Saccharomyces cerevisiae S288C: one gene and its partner. The protein of the gene in region 2 interacts with the protein of the main gene of each other region in a biochemical or structural test. Each region holds a gene or a part of one and is shown on either strand. Other genes may lie near its edges. The genes, in order: ATG1 and ATG2.

What was found.
Region 1: of the proteins of ATG2 (region 2) and ATG1, one has a biochemical effect on the other in vitro, tested with the Saccharomyces cerevisiae proteins (2 studies listed by BioGRID).

What each region holds. Positions count from the first base shown.
Region 1 is NC_001139.9:158,304-163,378, reverse strand, and holds ATG1 (serine/threonine protein kinase ATG1), read right to left. Parts: upstream 3,315-5,075; coding exon 621-3,314; downstream 1-620. Other genes in the region: GTS1 (Gts1p), read right to left, coding at 4,283-5,075. UniProt on the Saccharomyces cerevisiae protein: Serine/threonine protein kinase involved in the cytoplasm to vacuole transport (Cvt) and found to be essential in autophagy, where it is required for the formation of autophagosomes.
Region 2 is NC_001146.8:189,477-196,904, reverse strand, and holds ATG2 (Atg2p), read right to left. Parts: upstream 5,582-7,428; coding exon 803-5,581; downstream 1-802. Other genes in the region: ZWF1 (glucose-6-phosphate dehydrogenase), read left to right, coding at 1-479; SLA2 (Sla2p), read right to left, coding at 5,948-7,428. UniProt on the Saccharomyces cerevisiae protein: Lipid transfer protein required for autophagosome completion and peroxisome degradation. Tethers the edge of the isolation membrane (IM) to the endoplasmic reticulum (ER) and mediates direct lipid transfer from ER to IM for IM expansion.

The DNA of each region.
Region 1 (5,075 bases), on a different chromosome or scaffold from region 2:
TAATATATGATTAGAAACTTGATAGAAGGATCTAAGTTAATTGTCATGTCGGATCCTAATACCAATTCTTTTAATATTGTGTTTGTTTTTGAACGTTTATTATGACTTGTAAAATACTGTTTGTAACAACAAATTATAAAATGAATTTTAATGAACTCAACAAGTAAAAATAATAAAGATATTAATGACTTGTTAAAGCCTCCTCAATCAAATCATACATACATACATTTATATATATATATAGAACAAAAGGTTAAAGAATCAAATTTTGAAGAAATAAAAATTAGATTAAAAGGATATGTATAGCCAAAGGCAAGTACTAAACGCAACAAAAAAAAACTTAAAAAGAAAAAAACACACCGAAACCGAAGGAATTCAATAATTTCCTTAATTAACATTTAAACATCAAAATAAAACCCATCCAGGTATAAAAGAGCTGGATTTCAAGAAAAAAATCACGTAGAAATAAAAACAAAACAAAACACAAAGGGAAAATAAAATTTGAATACTTTAATGACGAACTCGTAAAGCATTTCGAGAGTAGCATAACATAATCATGAAGATACTTGAAAATATAGCAGGTCATTTGTACTTAATAAGAAAACCATATTATGCATCACTTAATTTTGGTGGTTCATCTTCTGCCTCAATATTTTCAACCTGTTTGCAATACTATCAATATACTTTCTTATGATTATTCTGTCATTTTCATCCAACACACTATGATACTTCTCTTTATCTTCAACGTCGTTACTTTTTAGATGTATGTTAGTTTTAAAAGGGTAGTCACCATAGGCATTCGTAAAATCATCATCGTCCAGAGAAGTTTCTAACATCCAAAGTGAAGTTGCATAAGCTAATTCACAGTTGTACAAATTTTCTCCTTTTAATTCCATATGTGCGGCCATCTTAGATATTTCTAATGCACGATCATATAATAGCTTTTCTAAATATACTGGCTCTTCCGAACTACCTTTTTCTTCCAAAGTTTGATTTTCAGCTACCTCAGAAGCATGCTTGAATCTCAAGTCGTTAATTTTTAATCTCAGGAAATCAGCTTTTTCTAAACATTCATTAAATTTTTCCCTTAGCCACTGTACCAACACGTTAACTCTTAGAGAACATGATTTTTCTTGAGATTCATACCACCAGTTGGACGTTACCTGCATAGATTTTGATAAAATGGATAATGCCTTCATATATAAGACAATGGCCTCATTACATAGAAGGATCATTTCCGAACGTGGTAGTTTATTGAAAGTTGCACTCAACTGAGATGTGGCAGATAAAGTTCTACCCTTTCCAAAAGTTTTCGTGGATAAGCAATCTTCCTTGTACTTTTTCAACGTTTCATCCTCTTCTTCTGCATCGTCTGAGTCTTGTTCTTCTGCAATAGCATTACTATCCATACTGCGCCTGTTCTCAAAGTTAGCCATGCCTTTTAATGTTGTTGATAATGGAACAATTTGAGAAAATTTCACTTCTGCATAAGAGTAAACAACAAATGCCTTTGCGGCCAGAGATTCCAAAATACTAACGATATTAGTATTATCTAATTTCAGTGTCTCTGGATGCTGTAGGTGATCTATTCTTAATATTATATTCTCAGTAAGTTCATGAAAAAGTTGGGAATTCAACAAAGTTTGACTGTACGGTGGGGAAGATGTGATTTGTTGCTGTTGCTGCTGTTGATTTGCACCACCAAACAATCTCGTTGATGCAATACCGAGGGCTCTTGATAATGCATTAGATGGATTCAGCGAGGATATAGACAAGCGTCTATCCACCAAAGATGGTCGCCTAGACCCATCACTACCTCCACTGGAAGATGATGTGGCCCTCAGTAACCTCGGATTTTCTCCTTGATTTTGAAAATACTGTTGATTGTTTGGAGAGAATTGCTCATTCAATAAGACGTTCTGATTTTGAGTTGAAGTTGGGTGCTTAATAGGATTTGGATTGAATCCTGCTTGAGCAACCTCGTCTGCCAATGAATTAACTTCAACCGATTTCTTCTCTACCACCACATATTCTCTTTCAAAGCTTCTATCTGAAACTAGGCTATTATGGTATTTATTATTTGAAGCCTTTTTATCTACGGCTTGTGTATGGTCTGTTTTAACGGCTGGGGCAGTTAATATATTGCTGTTCTTGAGGGCATCACTGAGCTCCGCGGGATTATCTGCCATTGATTGATGACCTGCAAGATTACTGTTCGGACTCTTTGGCTGTTTAGATAAATACTCAGAAACGAACATATTACTTTCTACAATACCTTTTGATTTGGATTCTAACTCAGGTAAATCATCTTCCAATTCATAAGAAGACAAGTCTTCGTTGACTACCTTGTTAGCAAAAAACTCCTCAAATCCTATTCTTTGGGCTGGATCAAATGTCAATAAACTACATATCAACTCTTTTAACTCTGGTTCAATATTGCAATATGAAGGAAACGTTATGACATCGTTTGCTCTTTTAATTTTCTTGAATAACTCCAAATGATTGGAAGCTCTAAACGGTGGGGTGCCACAGCACATTTCGAATACCACTGTACCGACAGACCACAGATCTGCTTTAGCGTTATATTTTTGATAATTCAAAATTTCTGGTGCCATATATAATGGTGAGCCACAAAGAGTTTCTGCTAATGACGTGTTTGGCAAAAATCTTGCAAACCCGAAATCTGCTATCTTTAAAATGGGTAAGTTGTAGATCCCAACAAATCCAAGTTCATGGAAGCTTTTTGAATCATGATATCCAATTAGGGGTGTAGATAATAGTAAGTTTTGAGGCTTGATGTCTCTATGAACCAAGTTTTTAGACCTCAAAAATTTCAAAGCGGACGCTAACTGCTGTAAATAACTCAAGACAAACGCTCTATGCAGGCCGTTATGGTTCTCACTCGGTGGAGGGTATTTTTCAAATACGGTCCTTAGTAGAGGATGATTCTCCATCAATTCTTTACGCCTTTTCAACAGAAATGTTAGGTCCCCAAGAGCACAGTACTCCATGATCAAATAAAAATCTGTTGATGTTCGTTCACAGTCAATAAGTCCGACGATATGAGGATGCTTGATTTTCTTCAAGATAGCGATTTCTATTTCCAAATTCTCTAGTAATTTCTTATTTTTTAATTTCGCCCTTGATACTTCCTTTATGGCTACATGCTGAGATTTGTCGGATGTCAGATGCCCTCTATATACAGTGGCAAACGAACCCTTTCCGATTTCTTTCTCAGCGGTGTAATTTCCTGCACTTGCCATTAGATTATGGTTCACAGAGGTTGTGTGATCTTTATTTTTAATGTCTCCCATTTTCTTAATTTCTCGTCTGGTGTTGTAAAAGAGATTTGAAAATATGGGGTAGCTTCAAATTCGTTTTGTGGAGATATCAATGATTATTCTCCTATCTCCTTTGCCTTATGTTTTTATTATATTATATGTTATTTTATTATGGGTACTATTACTACGATTGTATTATATCTTTTTATCTTCTATAGTACTGTTCTCTGTTTCCCCAGAAACTAAAAAGGGTAAAAGATGGCCTTGGTACTTAACTTAAAGGTGATGAAATGTGGCGTTCTAGAATTAACCTCGGCCTAAAAAATAAAAAGCTAAAAAAAAATAGTACGATCAGGAAGATATTAATAATATAAGCTCCTTTATGAGATGCTCGATTCCTTTTGTTGCCAACTAAATGACGCTTAGAATTCCATCGATTCCACGATCGATATAGTTACAAATCACAAACTGATGCTGATGGGGGAAATGGTTTAAGAAATCAGAGCCGAGCGGTTAAAAAGAAAAACAGATGCTTGAATACGAATGATATGCTTGCTTCTTTAACGGTATGGCTTTCCAGTAATAGTTACTCCGATAAGATTCATTACAGATACACGAAACGAACAAGGAAAAGATGATTAACGGGAAAAAAAGAGAGTTCCTTATCTCATTGATTTTAACTAGTGGGTTTTCCTTACATTACCGCCCAATCCCTTTTTTTTTTCTCGCTCTCACCGGCGGAGCGCGAGCGGAAAACGCCACCCAGGTGACTTTTGCGCTAAGTGTGGATCAAATACAGTGGTATTAGTCATTGATGTGCAGCGTAAAACGTCCGGAGCAGCTGTGTAATGCGGCTGTGTAGGGTGAATACAATAGAGAATATGACTAATTCTGGTATATAGTCGTTGTTTACAGATATCTTTCGTTACTTAGTGTCATTTAATTACTTAGTGTCACTCTATATGATATGTAATGCGGAGCAGCGGCAATGTATCTTATTTTTATTGTGTGTAGAAATAACCTTGTGGCAGGTTTCCTCCTTGCGACATTTGCTGAAAAGATAATGGCGCCTGTTGCTGTTGCTGCATCTGAAGCTGTTGCATCTGGATCTGCTGTGCTTGAGCCTGAGCCTGGGCCTGAGCCTGAGCCTGAGCCTGAACTTGAGCCTGTGCCTGTGCCTGTGCCTGAGCCTGAGCCTGTGCGACAGCAAGCTGTTGCTGTTGCTGTTGCTGCTGTTGCATAGCCATGGCGTATTGCTGCTGATCTACATATATCATTCCGGTAGCAGGATCGTAATACTGTTGAAGGGTACCATCGAAAACTGCTGGCTTTGCTTGTACAAAAGATGCTGAATTTGAAGTAAAATCTGGCGTGATTACATTTGTACCATCAAAAATAGCTGGCTGTGGGCCACTTGTTGTCGCACGTCTCCTGGGCAGGGGCGGAGTTGATGTTGTCGCTGCTGCCGATACACTATTTCTTGAACTTGAACTTTTTTCTAGATAATCGATTGCTCTATTGATATTTCCGTGAGCGGACGATAATGCATCTAAATTTTTGTTTGTATCACCGAAACCCATGTCCTTGAGTTCTGCCAGTTGCCTAGAATATCTGCTTCCACTGCTTTGGAATGAGTCCCTGGAACCGCCGTAGTCAGACCTATTATGGCCCCCTTTATAGAAAGAATGAGATCTGCTCCTGCTCCTACTTCTATTTCTTTCATCAAACCTGTCCGATTCCCCATCAAAATCATCCATTCTGGATCCAAAGTCTTCAGGCTTTATTTCATCATAC
Region 2 (7,428 bases):
AGTCCAAGGTGGAGATCAGACTGCAGTACAAAGCGGTCGCATCGGGTGTCTTCAAAGACATTCCAAATAACGAACTGGTCATCAGAGTGCAGCCCGATGCCGCTGTGTACCTAAAGTTTAATGCTAAGACCCCTGGTCTGTCAAATGCTACCCAAGTCACAGATCTGAATCTAACTTACGCAAGCAGGTACCAAGACTTTTGGATTCCAGAGGCTTACGAGGTGTTGATAAGAGACGCCCTACTGGGTGACCATTCCAACTTTGTCAGAGATGACGAATTGGATATCAGTTGGGGCATATTCACCCCATTACTGAAGCACATAGAGCGTCCGGACGGTCCAACACCGGAAATTTACCCCTACGGATCAAGAGGTCCAAAGGGATTGAAGGAATATATGCAAAAACACAAGTATGTTATGCCCGAAAAGCACCCTTACGCTTGGCCCGTGACTAAGCCAGAAGATACGAAGGATAATTAGAAAAATGCAAGCACATTCATTTATCGGCTAAGTCACTGAAATTTTTTTTTTCGAGTGATTTTATCTTGCAAGCTCACTCTCTTTGTTCTTTTCTCCTCTATAATGGCATCTTCCCCCCACCAACTCCTCTCTACTTGCGTGTGTATTTGTTTGTATACATGTGTAAATATATATACATAAAAGAATGTCGTCTCATGTATTTTTTAACTTTTAGCCGCGGTCAGTGACATTTTGGCTTTCCCACCATTCCACGTCTGAAAAAAAAAAAAAAAAAAGAGATAAAATATGAATTGAATATATATCAAAAATGTCTGCAAAAATTTTTACGAATCAGTCCGATTGGACTTGTACTTATCATTGATTTGCTCGTTATGCGTCTTATCCACTTGATTAGCTATTCCCTGTAAAGTCTTAGACACTGCCTCAGTGGCCCCAATTAACGGCCGAATAATTGCCACAGGTGCAGCTCTAGCAACATAAACTGCTGCGGCGCTCGGCCCTCCCCGTTTATCATCCTTCATCTGTCCCTTTGCCCTCCATACCGCATCGTACGCAATATGCATATGCTTTTCTAATGAACTATACGCCTCCTTCAAACCCGTGGGCAGGTCGAGGGGCTGATCTGCGTACAGACTCACTATTGTGGGTTCGTTGTGATCTCCCGGTGAAGACATATCGATGACTACTGCCGTGGGCTCATGATCTCTTATCCTGGAATATTTACTACCAACTAACTGATCCTCCTCGAATAAAGTATCCAAGTCTAATACAGCTGCAGTATCACTGTCTGCACCATCAGCGGAGCCAAATTTCGATGCATCGTACACCCTGCCATTGGAACCAACACCACCGAATAGTTCCTCGGTGTTCTCCAATATCGCCTGTGTCCCTGAAGTTAATTTAACTCCCAATTTCACAAAATCTCCCGTTGTCGTTTTCAAGAAGACATTGCCACCCTTTTTCAGACTCCTTCCCAAATGCCCTTCTTGCCTGTATTCTGACATTAGTACTGTGACTAGGGTCTTCACCCCTGACCCAATCGCCATAAACGATCTGACAGGAGCCAGTCCTTCCAAAACGCCAGGCAGCTGCTTTTTGGTAATATCCGGCGTCCAAATGGCTTTCAGTTTATTATTTAATTCATCGAATCCATTTAATCCATACAGGACTACGCTTTTCAAAATAATCTTGGATCCATCAAGGGTAAAAAAATTCATCAATTCAGAAGTTTGGCCCGATCTTAAACCCGCATAATCAACTTTTTTCGGCTTATAATCTAATCTTAACTTAATTGAATTAGTGCTAAATTTTTGAATAAATACAATATCTGGATACTCATCAATTAATTCAAATCTTTTATCTTTGAACCCTAAGAACCTTATTAGAAACTCTAAAGTGTCTTGATCCACGTGAAGGCGTAAAGGCGCAACATTTAATTGCATGACTAATTCCACTGCTTGCAAAAAGTCGATCGGCCGGATAAATTCCAGGTCCAGAAGAAACATCGGAGAACTGTGTGGCCACGGTTCGTGCTTTAGCAAAGTTACAAATTTATTCCAGGTGGACGTGGGAACATTATCGATAATTTCAAATTCGTAAATGGAAACTACACATCGGTTCAAAACATCTGTGGAATTATCAGAGTTAGACTCATCGGGTTCATCTACTCGATAATTCTTCAAATTGACATGTACTTTGTTCAATTGAATCAGGGCTTTGTAATGCTTAGAAGGTCGCAAATTAACTTTAGAGACATCAGAGAAGGAATTCTGAACCCCCTGGATCTCACCATCAAGATTTCTTCTCAAATCTGTGACATTGTTTTTGTTAGCAGATATATAAATAGAGTCAAAAATATTTGCCTCTGATTGGGGTACATTTGATTTCGAACTGCTTGCTTCCGCTTTACTGAGCTCTTTATCCAGTTTTTCAACAGTATTAGCGATAAATTTCCGCGTATATTTCCAATCATACCCATCGAATAGTTTTATAACAACTTTTTCGACATCTATACTACCCCTTATATCCACATCCCTTTCTTGCTCTTTTGAGGCGATTGGTGGAGTATCTTCTTCTTTTGGCTGAGCAGAGTCTAGATAACTCTCATGGGGAAGTAAAATACCACCTGTGGCAGTTCCAGAGGAACTGTCCATTTCATATGAACCTTGAGAGGATAGTTTACTTCTGGCACCATTGTTGAACTCGTGAGTTTTGTCGAGAAAACTGTCTACCAAATGCACTGAGTCGTAATCATTTTGATGATTGTTCTCCCGGATGAAGGCAGAATTGAAAAGATCACAATCGATGTCTTTGAATACATCGATAGGATTTTTCAACTGCGTTCTAAATTTTTCCTCATCAGGAAACGTCTGAGGATATTTTAAATCAATACAAAGCTGACAAAAAGTTTGAAAAGAATCCGCGCATAATGAAAGACCAACTTGTTCTATTTTACAATCCAATAAAAGGGCACCATCGGATTTGTTTATTAAAAAATTCAAAGTATCTATTTTACCGATTGCAGAGAAACCTTGACCAGCATAAAAATTTATCAAACTAGGCCAGTTCTTATCTTTTTGAATTTTGAAATTCTGATAGTCATCTATTAGGAAGAGTGTATTCGCCTTTGAAAGAAGCTTTGCCTGCGGAATAAATGAACTTCCACCAGTTGTTAGATTGTCAAGTACAATGACCATTACACTTTTTAATCTGAAAGGGTGCAGAATTAGAGAGCAGTCCAGACATTTGAGTTCCCAGGGAAATCCTGAAGTCGGTTGTTTTTTACTAAGCTTTTGTGAAACAGGTTCATCTTTTGAACTGGCATTATCCGGGCCGATGTTTTTCTTTAGTATTTCTAACCACCTTGCATAGTAATGTATGCGAATGTTGTTAAAAATGACTTTTAACTTTCCATTCGCCCTTCTATGAACATATAGTACAGGTTCGTTAACTGCTTTATTCAAAACTACTGACATGATTTCTTGTGGCTCTAATAATGACGGTGTCTTTCTTTCTACCTTTAAGTTCTTTGTAAAATATACAATTTGAGAGTCATCCGTAATCGCAAAGAAATTATTTGATAGTAATGCTTCCACAGAACCAAATTGCGGCCCTATAATTTCTGATACTTTTAACTTCATGGAATCTATCTTGAGAGAAAAATTAGCGGATAAACTCTGCTTGTAAACGAACCTGGAAGAATTAAGTACTCTGACACTTCTCTGCAAAAAGGAGCCTCTCTTGCTTTTAGACTTTCCTGTACATTCACTGTTCTTTGAATCCGTGAAAAGTTTTCCAAACGCAGAAATATCTTCGACTAATTGTACTATTCCAGAATATTCTTCGTTAAATATCACTTCTTTGATGATTGCATGGACAGAACTATAAATTAGCGCTTCTTTCAAAGTATCGTCATATGAACCCAGTTGTAGAGGGGATTGCAAGTTCGAGATCGTAATGCTCGACATTGTCAATATTTTCGTGCACCGAGAAGGTAGTTTTTTAAATACGTCTACAAGCTCAATGTACAACTCACGGTTAGAGTCGTAAATGAAGGGTGAAACCTGGAAACATAATAAAAAATATGGAAACTTAAGCGACAACTTCACTGCTTTTGAGGTAAGTTGTACGGTCCTTTTAGTATCCGATGCTATTTGAGGCATCATCCCTTTTGACTTATTCTGATAAAAGGACATACATTTTGAAACAAACTGAAAGATTTTAAAGAAATGCGCAATGCCATCATGACTGATAATAATATCTAGTTCGTCGCCCATATTTAATGCGATGCTTTGAGGGGTTTGTTCTCCAGTGAGCAATGGCTTAGTTTTATGGCTAATTGTCAATGGACTCGAATTAGAATAAAATGAGCCTAAAGAAAATGCCAATGAATTATTTTCCTTTTGCTCTAATTTAAAGCTCTTCAAAATTACTGTGATATCTTGGCCTAAGTTTAAGTATATACATTTGATATCAACAGAAGAAAGAGCTGATGGTTCCTGCTTGTCAGGTGAAGGACTTTGGGAATCCTGGCAAGAAAAGCTTTCATTGGCATCCAAATGTGTAACAATGATATCTATAATATTCTTCAAAGTGGAGTTTTTGATTTCGACAATTTTGTGTATCGCTAAATGAACATCCTGAATATCAATAACAATATTAGACATTCTGAGATCATTGACCGATGATAAACCCTTAAAAGCTATGTTCAAATTATTTATTTCCATTAAAGATTCCTTGCACTTATCATTCTCTTGTTCTTCTTGTGTAACTTGGGGTTCACTGGGGTCTTCATTTGATTGCTCTTCCATGGCGCTCATATAAAGTGAAGTAGCCTCCATTTTTGATAAATAAACGCTTTGTGACAGATCGTCATTATTGAAAGGATGCACAGGAGAGTCGGGTACAGCTTGTTTTTGTATTGAGGAAATGGTGATATTTTCAATGTTTATATGTCGTAAATTTGCGTCTGTAGTAATAAGTTGTATGCTTTCTAGATGAACCTCCACAATGTTATCGGAAGGATCTCTATCATTCACTATGAAACGTATGGTAACGTCCTTTAATGCTATTTTCAATTTCGCTAAGGCTACATTAAGGGCCTTGTTCCGCATATTTTGAAGAGTATAAGAACCATTTGCGGCTGGTTTTGAAGCTTCTATATTAGAGTTGAGATCACTACTACTGTCTGAAGAGCTAATGTCATCTTCTTTGTACCTATTATATGTGGTCAATGGATCACTAAATTGTAACATCGAATTCGTAAGATCTTGGATGCTTTTAACCAAAAAATCTGAGTGAAGTTCCTGTGAGCCACTGGAATATAAAGGTGTCATGATAAATCTTAAACCAGACCCATCGATTTCCACACCGCCAGAAACTGTTAATTTTAACACAAGCTCGTCAACTATGCCTTCGTTTATTTGCACGTTTGGAATGTTGAGATCATCAAGTGACAGATTCACATCATGGAACGAGAAATGTGACTTAGACCCTATAGAAACGTCCAAGTTAGATAAATCTATATTGGAGAACAGCGAAATTTGCTGAAGGACGTAAAGAAGCAGCCGCTTTTGTATATTTTGAGGTAACCAAAATGCCATTGTATCGAAATCAAAAAAAAAAAGGGTTCCTCTTAATTTGCTTTAATCTTTATGCTTTCCTTATTTTAAACGGCAGTAGAAATTTTGTATGAATGGTGAGTTGAAATAAAGTCGCAAAGATTACAATAGAAGCAAAATGGTAGACTCCTACAGAGATGTGATATGATAATAAGGGTGGGGTGTCTGTTCTTTGTTCCTTGCATATTCATTATCGCGATTATTTCCATTCGCCGCACCAAAAAAAGAAAAAATGTCCCCGGACGAGAACGCATATACCAATCAGATACAGAAAAACGTAAAAGACGTCTTCAAATAAATATATTTATATTAACGTTTATCTTTATATATAAAAAGTACAATTCATGATCAATCATCATCCTGGTTATAGTAGGCATGCCTTCTTATCTCGCCCAATCTCTTCCTGGCATTGCTCAAGGATTGTTCTAACTTCAAAATTTCCACTTGCTGTTCCATTTCGGCAGTCTTCAATGTGTGTTCGGATGTGAAGTCCAATGGTTGCTGCTGTTGCGAAGTCGAATGATCATCTTCAATCATACCCATGACGTGGTTACCCAAACTTCTGCATGCATCGGTAACATCTTTGGAACAGTGTTCCAATTTATCTTGGGCCTTCGAGTGGATGGAAGTTTTCACTCTCGATGCTGCTACCAATTGTATTGTGGATGCGGCCACTTCTTTGGAGGCGACGATAAATTGTTCAGGTGATGTGTTTTCATTGTCTTCAGAAGTGATTAACTTACTAGCAGTAGTGATTAAAACATTGGTTGCACCTGCCACAGCCTTTGCCGCGGAGATCAAACCTTCTGTCCATCTGCTGTTTTTCAAGTAGAATTGGTTCAGAGGAATACTTGTCGTGGTGGCAATTTCATTTTGGCACTGAATAGCAGCCTTTACCAAAGCCACAACAGCATCAATAATCATTAATGCCAATGACAACAATGGTTTAGGAACGTCAACACGTAAGTGTTCTGAGGATTTGACAATTTTGTCAGCAGTGGCAACCAATTCAGAATGTGGGTTCGTTTCTTTATTTGATTTGACAGATTGTATGTTCAATAACGGTTCGATAGCCAAAGATAGCTCTTGCAACTTCTCTTGCATGTCCACGTTGGCATTGATGACGATATCAGTTTTCTCCTCATCACCGACCTGGTTAAGATTTTCAGACATCAAATCCTCGAAGAAATATTGGGCCTCTCTGGCACATCTCTTCACCAGGGTCAAAATTTGATCAGACTGTTCTTGAGGTAATGTAGTAACGGCGTACGCCTTTGAATTGGTCACCAGTGTAGCCATCGAAGTACTGAAATCACTAACGCAGTGTATGACCTCTGTTTGGTCGCCGTGTGCAAGGCCGTCTACTATCAAATTATTGAAACTGGTGGCAAACTCAGTGGCGTTTTCAGAAGTACTTTCCAATAAGGACAAAAGGAAAGTGGGTGGAGTCAGCGGACCCGACCAACTCAAAGGAGAATCGAGATTATAGACCGATTCCTGGATGGTGTTGATACCGCTTTCCAATATGGCATCCAGAATAGGGTTCATTTTATCCTGAGTCATTGTTTCTGCTGCTGCTGTCGCCGCTGCACTGTCCGCCTCTGCATTATTAATGGATCTTTCTAATTCTAACCTTGCCCTGTCACGGTCCTTAACCAACTCGGCCATTTGCAAATCCTTTTGCTTCAATTTGTGTTCTAACTGTTCCTTTTTCTGAATGGATTCCTGCGCACTATTCACCTTTAACTGCAGTTTTTTAAAACGAGGTAAAAGATTTAGATGCTCTTGACGCAACTGGGAGTATAGCTTGGCTAAAGACTCATATTTTC